Linked DNA regions of Solanum lycopersicum. The protein of the gene in region 3 interacts with the protein of the main gene of each other region in a pairwise test. Links are inferred from orthologs where the notes say so. Each region holds a gene or a part of one and is shown on either strand. Other genes may lie near its edges.

Region 1 (10,476 bases), on a different chromosome or scaffold from region 3:
CATTCTAGTGACAGACAATAACTCTTAATGCATAGGGTGATCAATTCATTTCAGGTCATTGTCGAGACAGGATCTCCAAATTTTGGTTGGTTATGGATGCCCTAGTACAGACAAGAAGGTGGTTTTTTCTTCCAAGTTATTGAGGAAACACGTTCATCTGGACGAAGGGGATGTAAGTTTTGATTCTTTGTTGTAAATATGTATTTCTTGTCTTATTAGAAGTCCCATTATTGATTCTTTACGAAATGTGGTTTCTCATTCCCATTTCTTGTATTTACTTCTTGTTTTGGCTCAATTTATTATCTTGATGAATGTGAAGTCTTGACGAGATTTGCCATGTAATGGAGGAAGTTCACAGTTCTTGTCATTTCGTGCATTTTCTGAAAAGCATTGTCTATTTTAATCTTCTTGTTCTCAAAATGCATCAAGATCTCCTGTTAGTGACTTTGCTTTCAGAAAGGGATAAACTCTAAACTTAGCAGCACAAGATTTTGATATAGAATGTTAAAATTCTTTAGTTTTCGTGTTAACTTTATAATATAGGAATATTCTGTGTACAAGCAATATACCAAAAAGTAGAGAGCCTACATGAAAAATGGTTCCTTGAGAAATAGTACTCAATATGGAGAATAGGAACCTCATGGTAGTGCACCAAAATGAAACTAAAAACAAGAGGTTATATTATTCTCCAATGTGAAAAGTTACTTTCTGCTCCACCACATGCTCTTTATTAACTAAATAAAATTGTTCATTTTGTAGCAGACTATGCTTTTATATGAGGCAATTACTCCATTCAACAATGTATTAGCTTAAGATCTAAAGAAAAATCAAGCTCTTCACCTGATTCACATATAGAGATGGTTTCAGATTAGCTGAATTGCTGGTAATGTTTATCTTGGACTTGGAGTGCTTGAGATTGTATCTTTAAAGCATCCGAAGATAGCTGTCGTATTGGACATACTGTAACATCATGAACCAGTGTAAGAAGCTTTTAAAAGTCTAAAGTGAGGTGCACATTGTTCTTTTGTACGGTGAATATTCACTATGATGACTTCATGATTTGTTGAGTATACTATGATCTGGGCTTTCACTATCTGTATTATTCAATGACCAATCCAAGTTATTGCATGATTATATTTTGGTATATCTCTTGTATATGGCCAAGATGACCTTGTTATTATCAATGAAAACATTACTTGATAAGAAATAAATACATGATTGTATCAGGTTTGCAGTTCTTGCAATTTGAGGAGTTCTTGTGAAAGGGCATATTTACTTACCAATAAGGAGGATGAAGCAAGGACAATGGATGTCATGCGTGTCCTATTGACTTTTGGTTTTAATGCAATCAATGGATCAGTTGATAATGAGAGTCTTATGAAGAAGAAATCTGTAAAGACTGTTGTTCGCAAATTGCTTCACGAAATAGTGAAGTTGAGTGCTGTTCCAATAGATCCAAATCTTCCACCTCCAGTTTTTAAAAAACCACCTCCAAAGGTGAAGCAGCCACCTCCCCCTCCGAGGAAACGAGTCGGACGTGATGACATTGAGATGAAAAAAGGAGATTGGCTGTGTCCAAAGTAGGTTTCATATCTTTTCTTCTGCCCTAAGCTTCCGTCATCCTTCTTTGGGAATCAATAGGGTTTTCAATATAATGAAGTTATATTTCCTGATCCATCTTAAAACTTTATTTGGACCTTTTCTATGCTGTTCAAGTGCTATTGTTCAGAAGACAGTCCCAATTGATATCTGTAAGGCACTGTATGGCATGATGTGCTTCGACATCAACTTTTTTCCGTTGGATGGTCCTGAAAGGTCTGCTGTGACCGTTTAGTATGTCCAGCACAAGCAAAGCAGGGCTTCACCTCAAATAGGGCAGATTGCGTGGTGATGAATTGTCTTATCTTCATTATTAGTTCACCCTTGACTCTTATATCTGTTGATCTTGTATTTGGTTTTTATGATATGAACTTAAGAGTGTTAGCGAAATAAATTGAACAAAATTTGTCAAATTTAGAGTTGAAACATCATTAACAAGTTACATTGCCAGGTGTGACTTCATGAATTTTGCGAAGAATACCATATGCTTACAATGTGATGCCAACCGGCCGAAGAGACAGCTGCTTCCAGGAGAGTGGGAATGTTCCCAGTATGTGCTTTACTTGCCTTTTCTTATCAATCTTCTCTCTTCTGCTGACATGAGTATATTGTTGATTTCAGAGCAATATGTTGAATTAATCAGGAAATGGTGTTTATTTTTGCTAAATTTATTCAAGCACCACAATGATAGATGCCTAGGCTTAGGCTTGAATCTAGTAGGAGTTGCAGTTTAACAAGTTCATCTTGATGAGGAGGACTATTAAGAAGCAACTTTTCGGTCTTCTCTTCATAGTCGGGAAATGGAGTTTATTTTTGCTATATTTATTCAAGCACCACAACAATAGATGCCTAGGCTTGGGCTTGAATCTAATAGGAGTGGCAAGTTTAACAAGTTCATCTTGATGAGGACATTTCTTTTCTTCATTATCCAATCACTATTCTCTGTTGTGCCTGGAACAAGCTGCAAATTCTATTAATGATTGCATATATGCCCTATTAAACTTGTACACTCATTTACATGCTCGTCTAAGTTGGCAATTTCCATTTGTTGCAAAATGTTCAGAAAAACATTTGTTGAAAGGCTTTTCTCTTGAGGCTTTCACTTTCTGATATGTTTATTACATATTGATTTACCCTTTCTGTGACACTGACAAAAACAATTGTTTCCTTTTATGAATTGGCAGGTGTAATTTCTTGAATTATAGGAGAAATGTGGTATGTTTTCATTGTGAATGCAAGCGCCCAGTTGATGACTATATGGTTGCTCAACAGCAGGAGAGGCTACAAGGATCCAGGACACAGATGAATAAAATATCTCGCCGGCAAGATGTTTCTAATGCATGGAATTTTGATTTTGATGATGATGAGTCAGATGGTGCAGACATTGCTGCCTTCGAGACTGCAGATTCTCGGAAACTGGGTGAAGATTTTCCCCTGGATAGGCAAGAACGAAGAGATACTTCCAGGAGCAATGAAGATGGTTTCCACAAGAGCAGCAGGCCTCCAAAAGGTTACGAAACTGAATACCCCGCACCTGGGAAACCAGGGGTAGGCTTTAATGACTTTGATGATGAAGAAGATGATGTCGACAGCTATGAGATAGACAGTAATGGAGCAAACAGAAGTTCTAAAATAGATTTCTCGGATATTGAGGTCAACTCCGAATCTGAAGATATTGATAGTGTTGATGACACTTTGCTTGTTGGTAGAAGGAACAGTTCCCCCGCAAGCGATGCACATTTTAGACAGAGACATCAGAAAGGGGCGTTTCGTGGTTCTGAGGATGCTGAAGTGGATTTTGACACAGATGATGAGCTTCCAATTAAAACTAATATGAGATCTAGTCAGGTTTCTTATTCTAAACCAAGATCTAGGAACAAAGGTGCCAAGAGTTTTGACTCTGATGACGATTATGGCCTCAGCTCCGACTCCGATGATAGGGATTTCAGAAGTCAGCAGAATAAAGGGAATAAATGGGGATCAAGAAAGGAATTTGGACGGAGAAGCAGCTCCTATAGTGAAGATGAGCCCTTCTCTGACTCAGAGAGCAACAAAGGTAGGTCATTTCACAAAAATAAGCAAAGAGGCGGTAAGGCTGGTCAAAATGGCAGATGGGACTCATCCGAAGTTGGTGGTGATGGGATAAGAGACAAACGATCCTCTTTTCGAGATAACATGAAAAGAAGTCCCAGAGACTTACGTGGAAGCAGCAGGAGAAGCCAAGATAATGGATATAATGATTATAGAAGCCGTGGACGTGAAGAATCTTATAAACAGCAACGAGGAAGAAATAGTAATTATGGTGATCAATCAGATAGTTACTTAGACGATGAAAGACATAGGAGGCCAAGAATAAATGTCCGATGAGTCTCAACATTCAGTTTATCATTTCAAGAGTTGGTTTACTTGCCGGAATAGCACTATGGGTCTCCTGAATGAGGAAATGGAAGGGTTATCAGAAGTCAGAAACAGCATTTCAACTTCTGAATAGCCATCATCACATCAGCTTCTTCCACCTAAGAGAGATGCACTACAAGGAGAAGTGTTTCAGTGACTGGGTACAAAGTTGATTGGCGAAAGCTTCATACAAATAAGCCAACTGGGAAGTAGTGATTATTCCCAGGCGATGACTTCCTTGTAGCAACCCTAAGCTTGACCTGCAAAGATGCAATATCTTCAATCTTCTTCCAAGTTTTTCATTTACTTCAGCTGATGATAAGATCTACATGTTGTAACTATAGACGTTTTTCTGTAAACAATAATTTGCTAATTATTGATATTGGTCCCGTTGTAGTATCCTACAGAATTACACTTCATTAATGCATTTCTTAGCTTATCTGGTTGCCTAAGTCAATACTGTAATCAAAAGGACATGGAAATGTTGAGGTTCTCAGTTAATTTGTATACTAAAATGTAAATAACCCCACATCATTCAGCTACTTCTACTGAGTGGGGAATTATTCTGTATATTTTCAGGTTGAACTGGAAGAGCAAATATTAGTAATTCATCCCAAACAGATTAAAATATTAAAAAGTTGCTGTAAGAATTTGGTTATTTTGAAGTATATAAGCCAAGAAAATAATACATCTCTCAAATATAAAGAAAATAAAAATCTTCCATTCTCTATGATTCATAATATATCTTCTTCCTTTCATAAATTTGTGCGGCTACTACGTTTACATCCCCACCATTGTCACTACTCGCCCCAAACAATCCTCACCGTCACCGCCGCCACTATCACCCATCTCTGCCGTACTATGGCAACAGCCGTTGACCCATCCAATACTCGTCTGGGATGGATCGGTACCGGAGTAATGGGCCGCTCTATGTGCGCCCACCTGATTAACGCCGGATACACCCTCACTGTCTTCACTCGGACTCCATCCAAGGCTCAGGAACTTATCTCCATGGGAGCCCACTGGGTTGACACTCCAAAGGCCGTCGCTTCTCAATCCGACGTCGTTTTCTCTATCGTTGGCTACCCTTCTGACGTTCGCCAGGTAATCCTCGACCCAAACTCCGGCGCTCTTTCCGGTCTGCGTCAAGGCGGCGTCATCATAGATATGACTACTTCCGAACCTTCCCTGGCTGTTGAAATTCACTCTGCAGCCTCTGCCGCTGGCTGCTCCGCCATTGACGCCCCTGTTTCTGGAGGAGATCGCGGAGCTCGGAATGCTGCTTTATCCATCTTCGCCGGTGGAGAGGAATCCATTGTCCAAAGGCTTAATCCATTATTTAACCTTCTTGGCAAAGTTTATTACATGGGTGCCCCCGGAAAAGGGCAGTTCACAAAATTGGGGAACCAAGTAGTGATTGCTTCCTCTATGGTGGGACTATGCGAGGGCTTAATTTACGCGCATAAAGCTGGTTTGGATTTGAATCATTTTGTGGATGCCATTTCAACAGGCGCAGCTGGCTCAAAATCATTAGACTTGTATGGAAGCAGAATACTTAACAGGGATTTGGAACCTGGATTTTATGTGAATCATTTTGTCAAAGATTTGGGGATATGTTTGAGGGAATGCCAGAACATGGGTCTCGCATTGCCTGGGCTGGCATTGGCTCAACAGCTCTATCTGTCGCTTAAAGCTCATGGTGAGGGTGATTTAGGAACCCAAGCTCTCATTCTAGCCCTTGAGAGGATTAACAATTTGTCCCTTCAATCTGAGGCTTCTGCTATTGGCAAACCTTAGACTGATTATCTGTTTGATCCTTGACCACTATGTATCCATTTCTTAATGTTAAAATGTCCTGACATTTGTATTTTGTATCGTTTATCCTTCTATGAATGTTGATTTTCTCACACATATATAAGAAGGTGAGAGTTTGAATATTCTGTAGTACTTGATGAGACTTCCAGGGCAAAAGATCTCGAATTGAAGTTGTTGGCTACAGTTTCTTTAGTGTTCATTGTGAATCAGGCAGGAGTATTAAAGGCCCTGGATTTAGGTTGTCCAGAGAAGGTCTATCCGCAAGACAGCTGAAGAGCGCGTTGACGTCCATAGTGCATGATCTAAGCTATAGTGTTTGTAAAAGTAAAAAACATTAAGAAATTCCAGGGAGAAACAGAGTCATCCTTTTTTATTTACTGCAATAAAATCAAGTACTATGGAGAAAAACAATACAGCTAAAGAACTACTAAAAGCATAGTTAAGCAGAAACAGTTCCTGGTTTTAACACATACTTCCTTGCGACTCTGAAAATACTAAACAAGGAAGCCTTGAAAAAAATACAGCACCTGATAATTCTTTCTCCAAATCCTCTGAGAAATGGAAGTAACTGTATCCCCATGACTTCTTTTATTGTCAAGCTGCTAAACGTCACCAAAAATGTTATGACAAAACCTATTCCTGCGCTCATTAAAAACCACAACCTTTCATCATCATCATCTTCTTCTTCTTCAAATTTCTTGAGATCTCTTTTTCTTGGTGGAGAGCAATCTGTAATCAATGGTTTCCCACAGGGTTCTGGATTTCCTTCAAAACTTAAGGATTAGTGAAGGTTCCAAATTGGTTTTTCGATGGGATAGGGCCACCAAGGTTGTTATATGACAAGTTAAGATAGCTAAATGTAGTGATTTAAGTCATGCTCAATGGGATTGAACCAAAGAGATGGTTAGATGAAAGGTCTAGTGTCTCCAATTGCTTCATGCTCCCTATGTCCTCTGGAATTCTTCCTGATAATTGATTCCAAGATAAATTCAGAGTCATCAAGGCTGACAGACCTGTAATTTCATTTGGGATTTCATCGTGAAGATTGTTGAAAGAAAGATCAATAAGATTCACTATGTCATCCTTGTTCCCTTCTTAATCAACACCATCTTGGGCGTAAAAACATAGTTGAAATAGTAGTAATTTTGGATGCAACTTGTAAAATTTGACGGACTTAAGACCTCTCAAATTTCCTTAGCAGGAAGGGATAGAACCTGTCAAATTGTTATGGGAAAGATCAAGAATTTGAAGGCCAAAAATTTGGCAAAGTTGTGGTGGAATGTGTCCACCAATCATGTTGTCTGTCATGCTAAGCTTTTGCAAAGATAATAGACTTTCTCCGAACCACTCGGGTATGATGCCACTGATTTTGTTCTCTCCAATATCAAGTGTAAGCAAGCTTTTGCAGTTGCTTAATGATTTTGGAAGTTCTCCAAAGACGTTATTACGACTCAATCTCAACCAAAAAAGTGAAGGTGGTGAACATAATGAAGGAGGAATACCACCTGAAAGATTATTCTCAGACAAATCTATGACATGAAGTTGTTGCAAATCAGCCCACCAGTCAGGTATCTTTCCAGACAAATGATTGTCTGAGAGGTCCAATCTCATTAGCTGCTTCACTCTTGTTATTGAAAATGGTATAGATCCTGTAAATGTATTTCCAGAAAGATCTATAACTTGGAGTTTTGTCATCACATGACCAATGTTTATGGGGATTGATCCTGCAAACAGGTTGTTTGCAAGATTCAAATGTGTAACATTTGGCCAAAGAGGTAACAAACCATGGAAGCTATTGGAACTTAAGTCCACCACAACACCTTCACTGTAACTAGAAATAGAAGTCCACTCTCCGGCTTTGGGATGACAGAAAATTTACCAACCTTGGAAGATTGCCACCGATCTCGTTATCTGATAGATCTAGAAACTGCAACTGTGAGCACATTGTCCAAAGCCAAGGAGGTATAGGATCTGAAATGGAGCCGTTGGAGAGAATAATAATACGAAGCTGCTTTTGAGTTTTCAGCCATGTCGGTAACTTGGAGCCCAAAGCACATTTCCTTATCTCGAAATATGTGAGGCTAAATGGAAGAATCCATTCACTGCTCAAGTTGACAGAAAACCTTTCTCCACATGATATGGCTAAAAACTTCAGTTGATGGAGTCTTGCGAAGTCATTTTGTGAAAGATTGCCTTCCCAATTATTTGTTGCAAGGAATAACTGAGTTAATTCAGTGAGATTAAATATGGTTTCAGGTAAGGCTCCCTTCAGTTGGTTTTGTCCAAAGTCCAAAATTTCCAACCTTGACAGCTGCTCAATAGATGTGGGAATCGTGCCAGATATCTGGTTAAAAGATATACTAATCATCCTTAAGTTCTTCAAATGTCCTAGTGAATTTGGAAACTGCCCTGTCAACCGGTTTCCAGCAAGGCCTAAGAACTCTAGGGTCGTGTTGCTGCAGCTAGACAACCCTTCCACTAATCTGCTTATGTCTCCGTTAAGTTTATTCTGTGTTAGATACAAATCCTGCAGATCACAGAGTTTACCCCACTCAACATTTGATATTGGGCCTTCTATGTTGTTGATTGCTATATCAAGTGTCTCAAGGGTGGTGGCATTAGACAACCATTTAGGCAACACAGAGTTAACAAAGTTATTGCGTGAAAGGTAGAGATAAGAAAGGGAAGTCATATTCCAGTTGGGAAAGGAGTAAGGGATATAGCGAAGATCACAGTTTTGCAAACTGAGAGTCACTAAAGATGGCAGCTTATTAAAAGACTGAAGCCAATGTGTTGCCGAAGAAAGGTTCACATAAGAAAGATCAAGATACTTCAAAGAGGACAAACCAGAAACCCAATGCAAATCTTTGATCCAACTACTTTCAACAGAAGCGTAAGGATAGGAGTATGCACGTAGGCTTAAATATTGTAAATTCGACAGGTTCCCAAATGAAGGAGGAATACCAATGAGAGATGAATGGGTGAGGTTAAGATATTGTAATTTTTCAAGAGAACCCAAGAAAGTGGGAGTGGCAAGTCCTTGGAAGTCATTTCACCAAGGTCTAAATACTCTAAATGTTTCAAGTCAAGTAAAGCAGGACTTATCTTGCCACCCAAGCACGTCGAAATGTCAGAAATCAGATATCCCATTTTCTTCTGATAGCAATTGCCTGATGTATCTTTGAGGTCAAGCCTGATGAAATTACCAGTTTGTACGTCACAAGAAACACCTTTCCAGATGCAGCATTCTTTGCCAATCCAAGAAGCCAAGTGGTCAGAGGGATCTGTGAGACTTTGCTCAACTCTTAATAGGCCATTCCTCTCACTCTCAATACATCTTACTTTGGCTTCAGTAGTGTTTGTGAGAGGTAGAGAAGCAGTGCTAATTGCTTCAACTGAAACAAGTAGAGGAAGGGATTGAAGAAAGAAAATAAGTACAATAACTAAAACTTTCCGACATGCCATTTTGAGATAATCTTACAAGTAAAAGAGATGGTAAGTTTAAAGTATGTTGCTTTTTAGTTGTGTAATGCCTGTTCATATAGAAAGGCAACTATAAAAAAGGACAAATGTCACTCTCAAATCTTAAGATGGAGGAAGCAGCCTACCTAGTTGGTCTTCACTACCTATTTGAGAAGGCATAAGTTTAAATTGAATACAAGTCCAACTCATTTAACTCTGTGGACTTCTCAAAAGAGAGTTGAATAGTACAAGTTTCTGCATTCAACTATGTATTTTAACTCAGAGCACTATTGTGAGATGAAAGTTTTGTAGTATTAGTTGAATCATTAAGTGCAGTAGTACAGACTTCGATTGAATTTCAACTGTATATTCTAAAACTAAACTAGAAGAACAATGATTTAATTTTTCTTTTTAAAAGGGTTACAGTAATTAGTAATGGAACTAATAAGCACTGACAGCATAAAATCTTTTGCACTGTCAGTGTAATTTAACCTATGATATTATGTTAGTTTACATTTATAAAAATAAAGGCAGCCTGGTGCACTAAGCTCTCACTATGCTTAATGTCCATCAGTGCATTGAATTAAATTCTGGTTCCGCCATATGTGCCAACACTAGCAGGAAATGGATGGTAAAGACAAGTATTATTTGTGGTCCTCTATGTACCTTAACTGAGTCAATAGCAAAGATATAGTGAGACTGATTATTCAACTCCAAGAATGAAATTTTACATTTATCTCTAGTTACATGAAAACAAGTAAGAAAGTCAGCTTACAGTAAATGCAAATTTAAGCAGCAAGAGAAATAAAAGGAAAAAAAAGACACTGATGTGAACCTTTTGGAAATAAGTGTCACCCCACTAGTCTCACAGGCAAATAAGGACCACTTGAGTGGCTACAATATTGAATCAAAATAAGTATCTATTGCCTTTTTTTGTCTTTCTCAATCATGAAGAAAGATGGAATGTTCATCTCTGTACAACAAAAAATTTGTAATTGGAACTTCAGCTTTCTTTCCAAGAACCCCTGAGAATGTTAACTACCACACTTTTCCATCAACCTGTACTTTTCCATTAAATTCTACAAAACCCTTTGCTACCCTTTCTTCTTCTTTTACAGTGAAGTGTTATGGTCAGAATTATGGGGATGAAGAACCTCTTTCTGCTTCTCTGGCATATGATGTTCTTGGTGTTGCTCCGAATTG
Region 2 (10,166 bases), about 550 kb from region 3:
TATGTCACCAGAATATGCAATGGAAGGGCATTTTTCTGTGAAATCTGATGTTTTCAGTTTTGGTGTTCTGTTGTTGGAGATCATTACTGGAGGGAAGAACACTACACATAATCAGGATCATTCTTTAAATTTAGTTGGAAATGTAAGGCATCTCTTCATTAAGAACTCACCTTTAGTTAAAAGTATGTATCTTGTTTTGCTCTAGAAAAGTATATGTGGAAATGTTCATTTTTTTTTTCCTTATAAGGTGGAGTCAGGGCTGGCTTGTGCATACTTCGACCATTACACTGTACCCGCTACATGCATTAGAAGGGGATTCAATTGAATCTCTTTCTTTAGAAAGCTATGATAGAAACTATTGGTTGTGTCTGAACAAAGTCCCACATGAAAAATAGAAAAAAGATAACTTATAATGTCCGCAGACAAACTATCACATCATGCTAAAAGTATCTTCGAGTAATTTTAGCCCAATAGAAACACATTCTTTCGTTGAACATATATGAAATTTTGGACACCCTTAACCCTGGACACGACGTTTTTGTATTTTCCTTGAATCCCCTGATTGAAAATCCTGATTCCGGCACTAACCAGAAATGTTAACTTTGCTCTCCATTTTTTCAGGTTTGGGATTCATGGAATGATGAAAAAGCTATGGATGTTGTTGATCCCTTATTAGGGGATTGGTATGAAAGTAGTGAAGTTTTGAGATGCATCCAAATTGGACTATTATGTGTACAATCATATGCAAATGAAAGACCAATGATGTCTCAAGTTGTCTTCATGCTTTGCAATGACACAAAATTGTCTAATCCTGGACAACCTGGTTTTGTATTCAGATCAAGAAATTCTTATTCATCATCAGCTAGTATTGGAAATTCTGTAAATGATGTTTCTATTACTGCACAACATGCTCGGTAAGTGCGTATCGAATCCTCCAAAAGTAGTACAATATATTTTCTGTGGATCTGACGTGGTGCATCAACGTTTTTAAAGAGCATTGAGCCATGTAATCTTTAGGTAATTTATACTTGATCTATTTTATTAATTTAGTTTAAGATTTTTTTACATTTATCAGTACTGTATTTTAACGTGTTATAACAGGTAGCGTATCTCTCTTTTTTTTTTGGTTAATTACTAGTCCTACTTTTTATGAATAATTAGTTATTAATAATGACTTAATAATATGTGTATTCGATCCTTCAAAAATAGTACATTATATTTTTTGTGGATATGTTATGGATGCATAAAACGTTTTTGAAAAGCACTGAGCCATATTGTCATTAAGTAATTTATACTTGATCTATCTATTGATTTAGTTTAAAAAATTTTATATTACAATTTACAGTGTATTTTAATATGCTATAACAGGTAACGTATTTCTTAGTCCTATTTTTTTTATGAATAATACTTATAATATTTTATATTAATTAGTTAAAACTATTTCTAGAGTTTTTGGCTATCAACATGTTTCCTTGAATAAAAGGGCATACTTGGGTGATGAAAACTTACTAGTTAGAGTTATTCAAGTATTTGTTATGTAGGATTTAGTTATACAGAGTTTCGTTATACAGGTATTAGTTATGCATTGTTTATTTATGCAGGTATTAATTGTATAGGGTTTAGTTATGTTAAGTTTAATTACGTAGAAATCACAATACGTGAATTATTAACTATTGAATATTAAATTTGTTGTAAAATATTTATATATACATGGGTAGTTTTATCCCTTTTAAACGGAGAGTTTAGCCCATGAAACAAGCAAAGGGTCCTAGGTTAAGCCCCATTTGGCCATAAATTTAGAATTTTTTTTTAAAAAAAATAAAAATATGAAATTTAAAGTTGTGTTTGAATATACATTTTAATTAAAAAGGGTATTATAACTGAAAGTCTCGAAATTGAAAAGTTATTTGAGCAAATTTTTGGAAAATTAAAATATTTGAAAATCAAATCAAATTTTAATGACTAAGCGTAAATATTTGAAAGTAAAATTTTAAAATTTGACGTAGAGATCACCAATTTATAAGGTCATTGGGTGTAATTCATCATATGGCTTAGGACACAAATATCCTGTTAAATTACCATCAATTTTATTTAAACACTTAAATATTGACTTATTCAAATTAAATATCTGAATATATAATAAAACATTTTATTCCTTACTTTCACTTCAATTTAAAAAATAAAACAATAATTGAGTGTGATCTTCAATATCAAGTACATATTAATTACTTACCTTATTCAATACATCAGCTAGTCTCAATAATTCATAAAATTTTAGGCATTTTAGTGATGTGCATAACTAAAAAGAACTTTATTCAAATAATTAAGTAATTTACCTAATAAATACTTCAAATTGCATTTAATTTTTTCTGAAATTTAATTTAAAAATTATTTTATCAAACATACAAATGTACTTGTGGGGCACTTCTAGGAGAATGGGCCCCAGCACACTTTTCCAGGCGGCCGCGTGGTGGTCCACTGGCTACAGCTACCCAAATTGAAAAATCAAATCAATTTGATGATTTAATCTCAATATAAATTTAAAAATTGATGATATTTATTTTAATTAAAAGAGAATTCAATAAAAAGTTGAATTAAATCAATTATATATATATATATATATATATATATATATATATATATATATAAATTTTAAGTATATATATAGCATGTGTACAAATAATGGTGATATTAGTATTGAAATTACTTTTTTGCACTATAAAGTTGGAGACATTAAAAATAATATACAATGCATAAGTTTCTTTTAGAAAATTAAAGAATATTAGTTTACAAAAATAATATTATCTACAATACGGTAGAAAAGATTTTTTCAAATATAGGGATAATTATTTCTTTAACCGTGGTAATAATTGCATTAAATTTCATAGATTAATATCATAAATTTTTATGTATTAATTACACAACAAATACAAAATAGAATGTATATCTAATGTTAATATATCAACTAAAGATAATTTTTTAAAAAATTTTCATTCGGTGTTCGACGCTCATATTGAAGTCTCGACTAAATTTAGATTGAGCACTACAGGGCTTATTTGGGGGGTGATCCTCCTGATAGAATTTTCTCTATATCTAAAGTTCGAACCCGAGACATCTGATTAAGGACAAAAACATTCTCATTAATGCACCACAATTTATGTTGCTCCAAATACATATACAATGATTTAACACAAAATATGAATAATATACAAAATTATACGCATTTTCTTTTCTAATGCACTTTTATCAAAAGTCCATAACAGTATACCAAACTTTATTAAACATGTCGAACTATTTGCATTATGTTAAGACCTCATCTAACCAACAATATAATTTGATAATATAAAGGTGGCAATGTCCAAAAAGGCCTTAACAATTTGATCGGTGGATATATAAACTTTAGTTCAAAAAAAAACTATCAAAATGGTCGGTGTTACTTTATTTTGATTCTTTTAACATTTATATCGTCATTAAAAAAAATAGTAAGAAATATAATTGCAAAAGAAGATGGTTTTGAAGTGTCTAATTGCGTTCTTTAAAGAGATATTCCTCATGTAAATAGTGGGTTAAGTATAAATAATTCCATACAACAAATCGTTTTGTTTATTACGGAGATCTTTTTTAGTTTACTTCCCGAAATGCTTTATATTAATAAAATTTCAGAGGTGACTCTTCCTAAAAGTTATATTCTTTAATGAACAAATAATTTTTTATAAATATCATGTAATAATTTTTTATAACACTCAATCATAATTTTTTATTTTTCATGTGTTTGTTTCTATTAATAATTATGTGGGAAAATCGGGCAGAATAAAAGGAAAGAAATCCAAAGAGCAAGAGAACCTAGCAAAGAAAATAACAATTGATAGATTTAGATTTTATTCGTCATGTGAAGCCCATTATTGAACTTCACACTATTTTTTTTCACAATTTAGGGTTAAATTATCAAAATAAATATCTTTAATTATTATATTATAAATTATTTCACCTAAAAAATATCAGGCATCAAAATAAAATAACATCAATATATTAAGCTCTAGTTTGATCTTTGTCTTGTCAAACTTTTTACCTAACATAATTTTCTTAGAGTTCTAATTAAATTTAGTTGGCGTTTTGGCCATGTGATATAGTATCGTGAGATGAAATCAGCATTTAGACATATGATTTTATGCTGATTACATCTCGTGATTTCATATAATGAGATTTGATATCATATTCTTCAAAAATCATGGTATAGAATCATATGAGAATACAATATCATGATTTGAGTTATTTAAATACAAAAATTAATTCACGAATTTATATTTTGTTCAAACAACCCCACATTTCTATATACTAACTATTATTTCACATTTAAATAAAATTTATAATCACGTCATAACGTTTTAAAATTTATTAATTTCACTGACATAAAAAAATTTAATTCTCATCAACATAAGTCACTTTAACTCACACTTCACCAATATAATTTCACGTCATGTTTCATTTTAACTCAAATATATTGATGAAACAATTAATTAAGTGAAGAACAAATAGTTTTGCAATAATTTATTATACAATTTTATGATTTTTATTTATTTAATAATATAAAATAAATAATTAAAGCTATTTTAACAATTTTAGAATTTATGAGATTCTTATATTTATATTAAAAAAAAATACACAACATTAAAATTCTATATCATATGTCCAAATAAAATTTTTAATTTCGTCGCGTAATTCTATATTAATTTCTCCTTGTGTCAATTTTCATTAAGTACACAGTGGGGTACTGTAGTTATTTCAATCCTCCTTTTTTATTTTTTTAAGCTCTAAATTTTTTTGGGTTTCAGCTATTTGCAGCTGTGTTTGGGATTTTTCTGAAAAATGGCGAGGGTTGAGAACAACCAAAACATTGAACAAGAAGATGACGAGGTGAACGACTGTAAGATTGATCCGTTACTTGGTGATTCTCATGAATACACCATTGCAGCGGTAGGGAATGTCACCGATGCGGAAGGGGTGGATCCGTCTCCGGCGGCGTCCACTGATAGGGTGCTGTTGTTAAAGGAAGAACCGGAGGAGAATGATTTGCGAGTTTCTACGTCGGTTGGGATGAATATGCAATTGCAGAAGGTAGAGAAACAACCGGTGAAAAGATCCTCAAAGGACCGGCACACGAAAGTGGAAGGCCGTGGTCGGAGAATCCGTATGCCGGCGGCTTGTGCTGCTAGAATCTTCCAATTAACGCGGGAACTAGGTCATAAATCGGAAGGTGAAACTATAAGATGGCTTCTAGAACGCGCCGAGCCAGCCATCATTGCCGCTACTGGAACGGGTACGGTTCCGGCCATCGCGGTATCAGTAAACGGAACGCTGAAAATACCGACGTCAAACAACGAGGGAGAAAGCTCGAGGAAGAGAAGGAAAAGGGCTGCAAATAGCGAGTTTTATGAGGCGTCAAATTTTGCACCGGTGGCTCCCATTGCCCCACAAGGTCTTGTTCCTGTTTGGCCAGTGGGCTCTGGGAATGGACTTATTCCCACCACAGCATTTACCGGTGGGGCAACTTTCTATATGCTACCGCCAGGCACTAATACAACAGTTGCTGCTACTGGGGCTCAGTTGTGGGCCACTCCAATACTTAATGTACCTTATGCAGCAACAGGGGTCTCTGCTGCTTGTGTGTCAAAAAGTGATAACAATGGAGGCAAGTTAAGCACAGTTGCTTCAGCTATGCCTCCAAGTTCTAGTTCTACACAGATGCTTAGAGATTTCTCACTGGAGATTTATGACAAGAGAGAGCTTCAGTTTATGGTTGGTTCTGGTTCCAGTGAAATTGATCAAACTTCCTCATCTAAATCCTGATTAGGGTTCTAAGACCCATTAATTTATCTTTTTTTGTTAATCTCTTCTGGATAAGCATCTAGTTTTTTCAAAAGATTATTTTAACATTTTGCTTGTAAGCATCTAGGAAAGGAAGTTGCTCTGCTGTGACATGGGTTCGTCAATGTTAAATGTCAACTTGCTGTTTTCTTAGTTTTGGGGCACTCAACTTTTTCTTTGCATTATAGTGCTTGTTAATGTGCTCTATCCATTAGTAGTTTTTTCTTAAAAAAAAAGTAAATTTTGTACTAACATAAACTCGATCCTTTAGAAAATGTTTGTCATGTTCAATTTGACTAATTTTTTGATCATATTAATTCGATATTTTAAATAAAAAAATTAGATATTCTAAAACTATATGAAAAGTACTATAAATTATAATTTTTTACATATTAATATGATGAAAAAATGTGTTAGTCAAAGTTTTTATAGTTTGACTCTAAAAATAGAAATCATGACAAACAATATCGGAAGAGAAAGTAATATATAATATATATTTTCAATAAATAAAGAATACATATAAGCTATTTTTGTAACTGTGTATGTACTGTGGTTCTTATCTTTGGGTCCATTTGGCCCGTGCACTTGGATTACTTCATAAATTACATGTGACTTTAGAGTAGGGCCCACTAAAGATGGATAGAGGGGTGTGGGTCAATGAATACTAGTCAATACAAAAATTTAATTTTTTTTTTAAAATATGGTTTTTTAATTCAAAGGCTATGATTATTAATTAAATTCTCTTGATAAATAAGAATGGTAAATAGAGGGTATAAGTGTTAGGCACATACCAACGATTATGATAGAGTGATTTTTACTTCTTTATTCTGTATTAACAATTCAAAATTTTTCGTATAAAACTTGTTAACGACCATCAAACAAAAATAAAAATAAAAATTATGGGCAGATTTTATGTCATTTGAAGAGTGGGACCCAGTTCTAGGAGAGTGGGCCCCACGCTCAGTAATCGAGGAGGTCTACTGGCTACTAATAAGACTACCTTTCAGGTTTGTCGTTAGGTTTGCTGCTTTTTTGGGGGGTGGGGTCGAGAGAACAGGCTGGCAATATTCTGACACGTGGCGTACTCTTAGTGGTCATATGGGGATTACCTCTCTAAAGCTGACACGTGTCATATGATGTACTCTACTGTTATAATGGATATCATCTTAACTCCCCTAATATTTACTTAGGGCCTTTTTTCTTTGCACATTTATAAGTGTATTAGCATAAACAAATTTAATTAAAGAATAAATATGTACAAAATCTAAAAAGAATTGAGTTGCGCACAGAGGCGAACCTACTTATAGAAATGGATTGTAAGTACAAAAAATTATTTGACGGTACCTGAAATTTTTGAAGTAGTTTTAAAATTGACGAGGACATGCTAGAGGATTTTGAAATTTGTAACTTGAATATATGGATAAGATTAAGGAGGAATCGAAGGAATGAGAAGAAAGAAATTGTATAAAGTAAAATAGTAAAGAGAAAACATTATCACAGTACTTATCTTTTTTTATATTATTAGTGCAATTTTAACCTTACGTTTTATTACACTATTTTAGAAGTCATCATATATATCAGACTTCTTGTGAAACTAATTACCTACTGAATATTATTATATACTAGCTTAACTTGATATATAGTGTAAAACGTGCACAATATACTCTTAATTAATTCAACAAACCCTGGAATAATTAAAGCTTCTGTTGTTATAAAGTACGCCAACTATAAGGAAAGTTAGTAGTTTAATTTAGTGGTGGAACAGTTCCATTCATAATTATTAGAGGTTTCGAATTTGAATTGTGAATTATGGAGAAAATTGTCATTTCCAAATAGATCATGCACGGTCTGAATTTTATCGAAACTTCAATACAGCCACCAGACATCGAGTAGGAAAATGAAAAAAAATTCATTCTTACCCTTGAATCCAGGACAGACAAGTTTCTTTTTTTCTTTTTTTTATGTATGTATATACGTGTATACCTCTTAGTCCTTACCAACTGTTTGCCTTGAAGATTTAGACCAACCTGAAAGAAACAGATTAACTAAAAATTTACGAGAATTGATCTTTTTCAGTAATATTTATTCTTCATTTAATGAGATTCTTATTTACATGACAATTTAAGTAACATAATTTAAAAATAATTATAAGGATAATAATAAAAAATAGTCTTAAATTCATGCCGTTAAATATTTTTTCTTAAGAAGTATACCAAATCCCAATAATAATTCACTTAAAATGGCATAAAAAAGTAGAAGCAACTTAATAAGACTGTATACGTTATCCTCCTCAGACTTAATTAGTGAAACTATATTCTCATGTTATATATATATATATATATATTGATGTGCTTCTTACTCTTTCCATCTTTGACTAAAACAGAGAAAACTTCTATCTTCTTTGTGTTTTACGTTAAAGAAAAACTCCACACATAATAACATGAATTTACCTGTTTGTTTGATTAATTATTTGAATTTTAACTGTATTACATACACGCTGTTTGCATGATTGGTTACGTATTATTTCAAAATATATTGCATTGTATTTTTTAAAGAAAAGTAGGGTACAAGATAGAGTTAATATAAAAAGGTACGGTAAAAGATAAAATGTAATTATTAAATAGTAGATAAAGACAAAATGGGAAGCATATATTAAGCTAACGACGCAATCACATTAAATCACATCAGATGAGTCTTTTCGTCATATTACGTAACGATATTTGAAAAATATAATTCAATATAATTTAGTAACAATCAAAATAAACATGGTATTTAAACTAACAATATAATATAAAATAATATAATACAACGTGTAACAACCATCCAAACAAGGCGTTAGTGAGGACCAGACATTTGGTGCGGGAACAATTATATTTGATATATGAGAGTCCAATATCATAAATGTAAAGTGGAGAACAAGTAGCCATGTTCTGATATCATGTTAAAGAAATGAATTTTGAGACAAACGGTAAGGAATAACCACTCATCTCTTAATCATCACAGGTGAAACAAAATCATATATATTTGAAAGAAGAGAAATTTGTACTATTCTTGGAGTTGTTGTTAGTAATGTTGTTGAAAGCATTGCTGGAAATGCTTAGTCTCAAAGCACAAAATAAGCTTCATAAGACTTCCCACTTTTTACTAATTGAGTGACTTGAAAGTACATATTAGTAATATCTCCATGCACCAAACACCAAAAATACTATTTGTTTATTTGCTCATTCTATGCTATATATACCCAAAATCCTGTTGCACAATCATCTCATCTTCCTTTCAAGTTGCAATTAATTAATTAAATCCTTAGTTACCAATTTAACCTTAACTAATGGCTCCTTTTTCTACTATCTTATTTCTTGTTTTGTTAATAGCCCCTCTATGCAATGCAACTCTTGGAGTTCAATACTATGATCAAACATGTCCTCATGCTGAAGACATTATTTATCAAACAATTCGCAACGCTTCATTTTTTGATTCTAAAGTCCCTGCACGTCTTCTCAGGATGTTCTTTCATGATTGTTTCATTAGAGTAATCTCTCTTTCTCTATGTACAAAATTTTGGGCATCAGGCAAGTCATTATATTATAGATGCATGTAAGAGATGGAAGTTGAAACTGTTTTGTTAATGACTATTTACAGGGATGTGATGCATCAGTTCTATTGGATTCAACACCAGAAAACAAAGCAGAGAAAGATGGTCAGCCTAACCTCTCTCTTGGAGCTTTCTATGTGATTGATGCTGTCAAAACTAACCTCGAAAAGGCTTGCCCAACAACTGTTTCTTGTGCTGACATAGTTGCCATCGCAGCTAGAGACGTCGTCGCCATGGTACTACTCCATCATCCTCCCTACTAAATAGTCAATCAATGTGCAGTAAATAATACAATATGACCCGTTAAAATATACTACTAGCTACCAAGGCGTTGTCAGTGTATATAAGTTAAATTCCACTGCTTAAACTGCAATCATAAGCTCATAAATACTTCATGTTTGATCAATTTTGTAGTCTGGAGGTCCATACTGGAATGTACTAAAGGGAAGAAAAGACGGGAGAGTGTCAAGGGCTAATGAGACAGTAAACTTACCTGCTCCATCTTTCAACACAAGCCAACTCATTCAGAGCTTTGCCAACAGGGGACTGGCAGTGAAAGATTTGGTTGCCCTTTCTGGTGGACACACACTTGGATTCTCACACTGCTCTTCATTTGAAGGCAGACTTCATAACTTCAGCTCAGTGCACGACACTGACCCGAGTTTGAATGCAGTATTTGCACAGAGCTTAAAGCAGAAATGCCCGAAAC
Region 3 (10,666 bases):
ATGTGTGAGGATGGTTATACATGACAAGATATGAGTGGTTTTCGACGCAGAACAAAAACAGAGAAACAAGATTATGGTTCGAGTATATGAAAAGGAGGTGCGAGAGGTTAACTGTACTAGAGTTAGGAGAGGTAGAGATAGACTGAAAAATAACTAAGAGAGTTAATAAGACAAAACTAAGACAAGTCCAGCTTAATAAAGACATGATCCTAGATGAAAAGGAATAGAGAATAAGAATAAAAGTATAAGATTGAAAAATATAAGTGATTTCTTGCTTCCTTTTTTTTTTTTTTGAAATATTATTTGGTTGATAAGTAGAAACTATTATTTTTAAAATATTTATATATAATTAAAATAAATATTAGTATAAATGATGAAGATGAAAATTAGGGGTGTAGGGTGGTGGGGTATGGGAATGGGACTAAAGGGCTAGAGGTTAGGATGGAGTGTGTTGTAATGAAGTGAGAAAGAAAATAATGATGTGAAATGATAGTGAAACTTTTTTTTTGTTATAAAATTTAAAATTAAAAGAATCTCAAAAAAATATTTTTTTTTTAACTTTTACTAGAATTTTTTTTCTTATTTTTTCAAAACAAAATATTAATTTTTTAAAAAATACTTTCTAAATCAACCAAAAACAAAAAAAAAAAGCAAAACATTTTACTTCAAAATAATGTCAAAAGAAGAAAGAAAACACTTCACCTTTCTCACTCTACTTACTAATTATACTTATTTTAGTAGCCAATGATAAAGTAGACTTGACCAAAAAAAACTTAAATTGGCCTCACTTGCAACTTAATTATGTCCCCACTTTTTAAATAATAGCCAATTATATGCCTAGAAATTAGCATGCCATAAATTGTGGCTATCTTATTGGTTATTTTGATTCGAATTGATAAAGACAAACTTCATATTTCTCAACTACTTCTAATAAATTCAAAATTAAAGTTAGTTCAATTCCTTACAAAAGTGTAATATCTTAAAATCAATAGATAAGTAAAAAGTATTCAAAAGAAAACATTTTTTTTATTATCTAAAATCACAAGGTACGTCAAAACTCCGAAGCTTAATATCTAAAAAAAAAATTTAGGAATTTTTAGCTAAAATCATTCTTCAATTATGACTCAGATCTAATGTACATTCTTATATTATTTCAGTGAATAAAAAAAATTCTTATACTATTTAAAAAATAACAAAAAAACATCCTTCATGCGTCTATTTTTGTTAAGAAACTAATTTAACAAATAATATATATATATATATATATATATATATATATATATATATATATATATATATTTATATTTGATCATGTCTTAGCTAAATCGAGAATATCAATGTTATCTAAAAGAATAAGAATATGAATAAAAAATAAATATTTTATCCTCATAATTTAAATTTTGTTTGTTGTTAGTTTATATGTTTTTTTTTTGCATGATAAAGTAAATTGACTTGCAACAAATAATACATGAATTTTGAAATATTTATACAATAGGATCTAATAGTTTGAAAGATTATGCAAAAGAAAAAACTATTTTAAAAATATTATGTGCAACTATTTAGAGATTCTCTTTAATTAAAAAAAAACATATAGTACTTATAATATATATAGACAATGCAATTCACATTTATACTATATATAAAAATACTGGCAATTTAGTGAAAATTATGTACGTGTTTTGTCGTGAGAATTCAATAATAATTACTTTATTTGAAATTTTTGAAAATGAAATTGTATTTGGCAATTTTTTAACAAAAGGATATTTAGAATTTAAATATATCTTGTCTGAATATTTTAATCCTTAAATTCTAGAAAAAAATAAAATTATCCAACTTGACTAGCTTAATCGTGTGTACATATATTCATTTAACTTAACACATTTTTTATTGGTGATTTGATTCTTTTTTTTAAAATAGACAAAAAAAAAATGAATCTTGTAATTTTTTAAATAGTGTAAAAGTGATTTTTGTTCACTTTTATAATACGAAAATATTCATTAAAATTAAGTCATAGTTATTAAATAATTTTAGCCAAATACTTCAAAATAAAAAGACAAAATCAAAAGCCGCAATCTTGAAGTCAAAGGAAGGAAAAGTAAAGGTTAAGAAGAAGGAAAAACGTGAGTGCCGCCACCGTAACTTTTGGCGGCGGCTTTTTTAAAAAGTAAAAACAATGTTCTGGACGTTGTTTTTATGCTCTATTTTATAGTTGAGTAGGTTTCCATTTCATATTTTCTATCAAATTTATTTTATCGTAGCGAGACGTTGCGTAATGTATTGAAATAAATATGTCCTATATTAACAAGAATATTATGAAATTAGATCTTTGGTTTAACTCAGATCTCAAAAATTAGCTCAAAGGGAGGAGGATTGTCCAAATCTTATAAGAAGTCCGCCCATTTCATTAACCAACAATGTGAAATTTTTGTCATTCTTTAACAAATATTGTATCAAGATATGACATATAACGTTGAGTTATGTATTCAAAATCAGAATACGACATTAGAATATTGAATTGATGTATTTGAAATTCTTAAATTTAAAAGATATTTTTATAGTTTAAAAAAACGAACAATGATAAATATAATTAATTTTTAAATACTAGGTAAAATATATTTGTATTTAAGGTTTGACGGGTCCAAAATTATATTATAAAGTAATCGGAGTATAAATGCTTTGTTTTAATTTTTGGTGTTTGCAAACATTAAAGTTGTGGTGGACATGGGGCTTTAAATCTCATTTAATAGGCTCAAAGTTAAGATAGAGAGTTTACTCGAAATAACTTAATTATTTTTTCATAAATACTTTTAAAACTCCAAAAAGCTTAATAGTAAAAAAAAAAAATACTAGCAAGATGAAAAAAGACCCTTGTGAGATTTATGAAATTAATTTTCATTTCATAGTGATATTAAAAAAATGAACCCAATATCATACCTATTTGATTAAGAAAACCAAACCAAATTCCCTTTATGCAGCTAGTGATATTGTCTCATTTCATATCAATTGTATTTTCGCTTAAGATTTTTTTTTTCAAACGAGAAGATTTGGTTGACCGTTCACTCATCTTTTGATGATCTTCCATTTAGCTTGTTTACTGTAACAGAGCGAGTAATATGTCGATGAAAGGTAGTATGCAACATTAAAGAAAAGAAATTGACAACGAATCTTAACTATAATTTCAAATATAACAATTTAATTAATAATTATTACTACATCTTCTTATAAATTAAGATTTTAAATTCAAATTTACATTGAATAATTAATGTTTCTTCATGTATTCTTAAAAGGATTTGATCACAATCTTGTTGTTTCTATATTTGATAACCATCATTTTATACCGCTTGAAAAAGAACACAATTTTGGACTTATCATATTTTTAGGTTATTGCTAAAAATAGGGTGTATAAAGATATTTAGATGAAATGTTCTAATTAGTAGAGGTGTTTTAATAATTTTTCATAGAATAGGGAGCTAAAAAAAAATCAATATTATTATATGTATTTGTTTGACTATTTTGTACGTCTACTGATAAATATTATTCACACATTATTTCTATTTCGGATCAAAAGTTTGTTTAAATAATTAATCTAACGAAATCAAAAAAAAATATTAAATGATTCTTTGCGCCTGTTCTAACTCAGTGAATAGAGTTATATTTGTTACTTATTATTGATGGGAGATGACATGTATTCTGTAAAATTAATTAAAATATATGAAATGTTAATCCCAAACATTACAATTTTTAGAAAGAAACATAATTAACTACTTAAAATATATAAATAATATGAAATTACAAACTGAATAATTTTAATTATTTAGGTAATTATTTCGATTTATTGATCGTAATTCTGAGTTCAAAATATAAAATTAGCATTTATTTATGCCTCAAAGGATAAAGACAAAAACAGTTATTTTGCTGTTAGAGATTTTTTATTGGTTCCAATAAGAGGGAGCTGAAACTGAGAAATCCTATCCCGTAAATAAAAGACTTATAAAGGGGTAATTTGGGAACTGCATAAGTTTCAACTCCCGAAATGGACAAAAGGAGTGGTTCATCGGGTAGATAGGGAGAATATGAAGGGTAAAAATGGAAAAAGACAAAGAGCAAGAAGACGCCGAAAATGTTTTAATATTCCAGGTGAGATAATTAAATAACTGTACTAAATCGATAATGGAGATCTATTTGTAATGGCGGTGGCGACTTCCCAAGCAAACCGAGTCCGACTCGTCCACTTGCGAGTTCAATACGCGTTAGCCTGCCTCTGAGAGATCTTTGCTACGTCATCGGAGTGATTCTCCGGTCACCGGCGAGAGAAATACACGCCGTTCATTGATTATTACAGGTTTTGCAGGAAAGTAAAGCGACGATGAACGCTAATGGATTCTGCGGTGTTGAGAAAGAGTATATAAGGAAGCATCATATTCATGAACCTAAGGAGAATCAATGCAGTTCATTTCTAGTCAAGCACATTCGAGCACCTGTTCATCTTGTTCGTTCTCCTCTCTCTCTCTCTCTGAATGCGTTTACTGCATTTTTCTTTTCCGTAGATCGATTGATTTATTTTCAGCTGTGTTGTGATTGATGATTATACTTTTAAATATCTTGAAGGTAAACATTAGATTTGTTATATTTGCGATGATTGTATGGTTTCTGATTTTGTATTGATCGTGTTCTCAGCTCTGTTTTCCTGAAAAAATACGACGTCACTAGGCTTTGATTTTGGTAGTCAGATCATCGAGTTCCTTTGTAGTTTTTTGTCTTGGTCAAATTTGTATAAAGGATGAAACGGATAAGATTTGAATTGTTTCCTATTTTAGGTCAAGCAAAGATTGTATCATCTTTTAGCTGTTTGGTTTATCCGTTCATGAAAGTTGAAAGTGACTCTAACTAATCTTTTGGTTAGTTGTATAAGAAAAGATCCCTGCTATAAAACTCTTGCATAACTAGGGGTGAACTAAAATATTCCTTGAAGAACTACCTATTACCTAATACAAGTGCTTATAGTGAACAAAGACGAAAGGCTAAATGTATTAGCAATTGATATGTTCATTGATTATGCAAAAGGGACAAATGAATCATCTGCAGTTATTCTCCACGTCGATTGCCTGTTTGCCTTATGCTTTTTATTTTGACTGAAGTGCTGGATAACTGATATTACTGCAAGCAGGACAAAATTAATATCTCTGATAACGTGAACGGAACTTGCATTTTGTATTTTGTGTTTAACCAGTCGTAATGGTTGTTGTTTCTCCCTCTTTTTATCAGGTTTGGTCATTGGTTAGGCGGTTTGATCAGCCACAGAAGTACAAGCCCTTTATCAGCAGGTGCATTGTGCAAGGAGATCTTGGGATTGGTAGTCTTAGGGAAGTTGATGTCAAGTCGGGCCTCCCTGCAACAACGAGTACTGAGAGATTGGAGCTTCTTGATGATGAAGAGCACATCTTAAGTGTCAGGATTGTTGGCGGGGATCACAGACTTAGGGTACTAAACAATTCTCTCTTGTTTGGCTGTTCCTTTCTTTTTTCAATTATTTTTTCTTATTTTTAAATTTTATTGTTATTAAGTACCCTTGAATTTGGTTTTTTCTCAGATCATGATCATTTCTATGGTAGAAGATTACCTCCAAACTAATTAGACTACCAAAATAAATTTCTAACTTGAATAACTTAATATACTTCTAATAAATAACTTAATATACTTCTAATTTCTACTTTACAGTTCTATTTTTAAGTGCTTAGTCATATATGTTTTTAGAGAAGCTCGAATCATCTGATATTGGTACTTCTTGTGATAGTGATATTGCAGAATACTAATCCTCTTCCCTTAAAGACCGTACAACCTGTCAGCAAAATAATGGATATTCTACTGTTACCTTCTCAAAAAAAATAAATAATGGATATTGCAGTCTGGTATTCTAGGCAAGCTAAAAAATTAGCATGTTTCTCATCTAAAGATTAATTTGTTCTCTTATAGATTGATGATTTTCGGGATTAAGCTTTAGAGCATTGAATTTATTTTCAGGGGGCTTTTTGTGATTGTACCATGGCAGGTTATATACCTTTTAATGCCCCCTTTGACTTGTGTGTTGAGAACTGAAGACAATAGCTCAATTGCTAGGCATTTGAGGGTTAGATAAGTGAGCATCTTCCTGATGCAGAGAACCAACTCCATTGATTCTTTGATTTGGCAAAAACGATTGGGTTCTTCTGTAATAGAACAACACTTTTAATTGATGATAGCACATTATGAAACTGAATGATCAGTACAGCACAAAGTGATATTTATTTTGCTTTTGAGATTATTCTTAGTAGAGAGCCGAGCATGTGCTTTTAGAATTATGATAACCTTTTCTGAAAGGTCGACTAGAATGCCAAGAAAAAATCAATTTAAATTGCAATCTTATTGGTAATAATTAATAAAGGGAGGATGGTATGTTATGTAGCACAATGCAGGTGTCTGAACTTGTGAGTTCGTTTGGGTTAATGACTTTCATGCACTATCTTTAATTGGGGAATATTGCAAATTGATTGCTCTTTGATGTCATGTCCTGTGAAGGCAAGTTTTTATGTATTTGGATTCGTTTAAGGAATCACTAGATGAATGATCTGGTTTTATTTTAGCAGGTTAAACATGACAGGTTAGTTTGATCTTGCAAAGATAGAGAGATACTTTGTGCTTGCTTCTTCCGACCTTTAGTATTGTTTTGACTACATTCAATTAAATATTCAGCCCTGTATGTTGCCCTTATCTTTTCTATTTGATCTTTTCCAGAACTACTCCTCTGTCATATCTGTGCACCCAGAGGTGATTGATGGAAGACCTGGGACACTAGTGCTTGAATCATTTGTAGTGGATGTGCCCGAAGGGAACACCAAAGACGAGACATGTTATTTTGTTGAAGCTTTGATCAATTGCAACCTAAAATCACTTGCTGATGTTTCAGAGAGGCTTGCTGTGCAAGACAGGACAGAACCCATTGATCAGGTCTAAATCAGGAAGACGTTCTGAAGGTTATTTCTACTTAGGATGAAGCTTCCTTAAGGCTGTTAGTTCTCCTGAGGCTTTGGAGGCCGACTGTATGTGGCTTGCTCTCTTCAATATTCCCTGGTGCTTTTAGTGCTCCGCCTTTTTTCTTCTTCTTCTGCAGTGTATGTTTAGGGTTCAGTCATATTACTTGTTTGTAGCGTCTCAGAACCACACGTTTTACAAGGATTTGAAGACACCCTGTAAATGGATGAAAAGACTAGCCTGTTTCCATTCTTCGAATTTTGATAGGGGGTGTGGTATGTCACTTGTCTCTGTTTTGTGTTGTTCCAGGGTATATTGAGTGTGTAGCCGTGTCTTTTAAGTTGCATTTGTGGTCTCTAATTGCAGTACGCAATGGCTGGGTACAGGAGGTGGGGTTGGGTGTGTGGATTGGGGGGGGGGGGACTCTATTTACTGAATAGAAGCACATTTAAGGCTCCAACAGTCCAAGAGCTAATGCTGTACAGACTAGTTATAGAGAAATGCTCTAGATCTGCAAACATTTCTTATTTATATCGTTGTTATTAATCATTGATCACGCAAAGACTTTTTAACTGTTGTGTAGTGGCTGGAGTTATGAGAGGAAAGTTGAAGATGACTTCTAGACTGCTTTAATAAACTGAGGATGGTAGCTTGTCATGTCACTCCGCTAGAGGTTCTTTCAACGAGCATGTAATTCACAAGACAAAATACTGCACACACAGATCTACTGTTAGGAATGTTAAGTGAAAACCAAAGCTTCCCTAATGGAAAAAGTAAACATGTCCAAAAGCAGTTCTAAATGTTAAGTTAGGATAATTTAACATGGCTCACTAATTTGATAAGTCTATATAACGATATCGAGATAGCATTGCGTTGAATTTGATAAGCTAATTTCGAAATTGTTTTATATTGTTTCAATATAATGATGCCTTGTTGTAATGACACAAATTTTAAAAAGACTCTAAAAAAACAGATTTGATCTTTTTGTAAAATAAACCACAATAAATTTTGTATAATGCGAAAGATTTAATGGTTTTGAGAGAAATTTAAATATTCAATTGTAAGAAACCTGTAACTTTCAAATCAAAGATTATAATTTGTAAATTTGAATCAGCCGAAGATAAAAAATGATGGGAACTTTATGGAGGGGGTAAAAGGAAAAATTGAAGAATAAGTAAGTAAGGAAAATATAGGAATAATAATATTGGTTGGTCTTAATTGTTAGAAAATAAATGAAGAAATAAAATAGATAATCATATAAAATATATAATATAATTACTTAAAGTTATTTCATTTCTAAATTATTATAATGACCTTACGTTGAGATAGATTAAAAATATCATAAGATCTATCCAAAAGGTTATTTTAAATTTAACAAGTACACAAAATAAAAAATTAGTTTTTTTAAAGAGGATTAACCTAATAATGATTAGTCTAGTTTCATTGTAGATTTCTTATAAATCACTCAAAACTAGAGATTATTATTATTTTGCTTTTGGTCCATACAATTTGAAAGTTCTTTTTTATGTATAATTACATATTATTTATAAATTTTATTTAAGTTATTATAAGATTATTTAAATTGAGATATTTTTAATATTAACTAAAAATATTTAAATTTAATTTTTTTTATTATATAGAAATATATATAGTTTGTCCAAGCCTATTGCAAGACATGATAATATATGTATAGAACATCACGTAATAATTAGCAGGTAGCATTATTAAAAAGATACGTAGCTTGCTCAAACCTATTGCAAGTAACACGATAATATTCGTATCGAAAACATCATATGACCATTTAGCAGCTAGTGTTGTTAAAAAGATATATAACTTGCCTATTCCTATTGCAAACAACATTATAATATATGTACGGAATGAAAAATAAAATAACAAAAACTTCAAAAGCTTTGCATTTACTCTCCTTTTATTGAGCAGTCTCTTATTATAGCAAAAATATTCAATGCAATTGCTGAATGAAGTAAATATTTAATAAAAAATGAAGTACTCATTTTTTTAAAATTCTTTTTAAAATTCTTCTAGGACCATTTTTCAATTTGTCATATCATTCTTGCGTAGGGACCATATTAATTTTCTGTGTATCGTTACGAGTTTATTGAATGTCTCCAAAGAGACCAAAAGCCAGTACTCAAATTTCATATTACAATATCTAATTCGACTTTAATATAAACACTTATTATTATTATCGTTTTATAATGGTAATGTAAGAGCTTAAAAATTACTTCCCCAGTTTGAAAATATTTGTCATGTTGCGTTTATTGAAAGTTGATTCGATTAATTTTCAAAGATAAATTAGATCACATTAATTTGATATTTTAAATAAAAAAAATTAGATATTCTAAAACAATATGAAAAATACTATCAATTACAATTTTTTGCGTATTAATTTGACTCTAAAAATAGAAATTATGATATGATAAATTTGAATTATAACGATATTGTCCTACTAATATATATTGTGTCAAATTAATTAATGTTTAATGTGAATTGATTGGTAAAATTATTATTCTTTTTTAAAAATAAAATTTACTTTATATGTTATTCAGTCTTTGAACATCATTAATGGAGTTAATCGTTAACCTTATATAAAGAGAAACCATCAATCAGTTCATCTAACTCGTCGGCTTTTCATCTCATCTACTCGGCGTTGTTGTGCGGTGGTTCCGTCGGTGAAACCCTAATTTCTGATAACATCCGCTTAACCTAGGTACGATCTGCTTTATGATTTTTTTATTCTAATTCAATTTTGCCCTAATCCCTATTGTTCGTTGAGTACAATTTAACAATGGCTTTTCTACATTTTACACGGCGTCAGTGCTTTTAATTCTTGCTCTGAACCTTGCAAGTTCTATTATACAGTTTTCGTCCCTTGGATTTATATATTCGATGAGTTTGAGTTGAGGACTGTACGATACTCTGTTTTTTCCCTTATTTAATGGTCTACCGGTTATTCTTGTAGTTCAGCTCACAGTTGCCTTCAATAGCTGCCCGACTCAGGGTCTGTCTTTGTTGACCATACATTTTGATGTCTCTTTAGGTGAGTAAATCACAGTGATTCTCAGGAATACAGGGCATTTGTATATGTTACTAAACGTCTGTGGATAAGTTAGTTGTTTTTCTGCTGGTGGGACTTGGATGCTTGAGGGTCTTTACTTGGGCAGTATTTATTTTTGGTGGTGCGGGGAAGGGGAGCAGTGACACCAGTGTAATGAGGATTCACTAATATTATTGAATTACGAGTTTTAAGACTTGAGTTTTAGTTTAGCAAGACCACTTTTCATGCTCTATTAGAGATTTTCACTTTATATGGATTAAATGCCATCTAGTGTCCCATCTAATATTTTTTCTTTATTGGTGTCTGGCGGTTAACCTTGGTGTGTGATAAGGAAATAATAACTGGTTTAGTGGGTTATAGTTACTTGATATATCTCCATGAGAAAGTTTAGTACAAGGGACATGCCTAGTATGAAGGAAGATAATGTATGGCAATGGTTGCGTGCATCCAAAGAAATAAGTTATGTATTTAAGTGGAGAAGGACAGAGGGTCGAGGTCATCAGTTTCAAAAAGAGCTTTTGAAGGTTGCAGTTGGCCCCCAAGGGTTGACTTCACTCTGATTTCTTTATCATAAAATAGAAG

Evidence for each region.
Region 1: the proteins of abscisic acid receptor PYL8 (region 3) and probable 3-hydroxyisobutyrate dehydrogenase-like 1, mitochondrial interact in binary tests that used the Arabidopsis thaliana proteins (3 or more experiments, as listed by UniProt). The link is inferred for Solanum lycopersicum from reciprocal best matches to the Arabidopsis thaliana genes RCAR3 and AT4G29120.
Region 2: the proteins of abscisic acid receptor PYL8 (region 3) and TCP21 interact in binary tests that used the Arabidopsis thaliana proteins (3 or more experiments, as listed by UniProt). The link is inferred for Solanum lycopersicum from reciprocal best matches to the Arabidopsis thaliana genes RCAR3 and AT5G51910.

What each region holds. Positions count from the first base shown.
Region 1 is NC_090800.1:85,411,734-85,422,209, forward strand, and holds probable 3-hydroxyisobutyrate dehydrogenase-like 1, mitochondrial, read left to right. Parts: upstream 1-4,488; 5' UTR 4,489-4,725; coding exon 4,726-5,793; 3' UTR 5,794-5,933; downstream 5,934-10,476. Other genes in the region: uncharacterized protein, read left to right, coding at 55-172, 1,228-1,580, 2,051-2,149, 2,784-3,966; receptor-like protein EIX2, read right to left, coding at 6,679-6,776, 6,825-6,905, 7,026-7,642, 7,695-8,641, 8,827-9,276; uncharacterized protein, read left to right, coding at 10,232-10,476.
Region 2 is NC_090802.1:2,186,333-2,196,498, forward strand, and holds TCP21 (TCP transcription factor 21), read left to right. Parts: upstream 1-4,825; 5' UTR 4,826-4,866; coding exon 4,867-5,847; 3' UTR 5,848-6,015; downstream 6,016-10,166. Other genes in the region: G-type lectin S-receptor-like serine/threonine-protein kinase At1g11410, read left to right, coding at 1-142, 622-918; peroxidase 66, read left to right, coding at 9,194-9,394, 9,505-9,693, 9,872-10,166.
Region 3 is NC_090802.1:2,737,040-2,747,705, forward strand, and holds abscisic acid receptor PYL8, read left to right. Parts: upstream 1-3,975; 5' UTR 3,976-4,366; coding exon 4,367-4,489; intron 4,490-5,265; coding exon 5,266-5,481; intron 5,482-6,771; coding exon 6,772-6,990; 3' UTR 6,991-7,291; downstream 7,292-10,666. UniProt on the Arabidopsis thaliana protein: Receptor for abscisic acid (ABA) required for ABA-mediated responses such as stomatal closure and germination inhibition.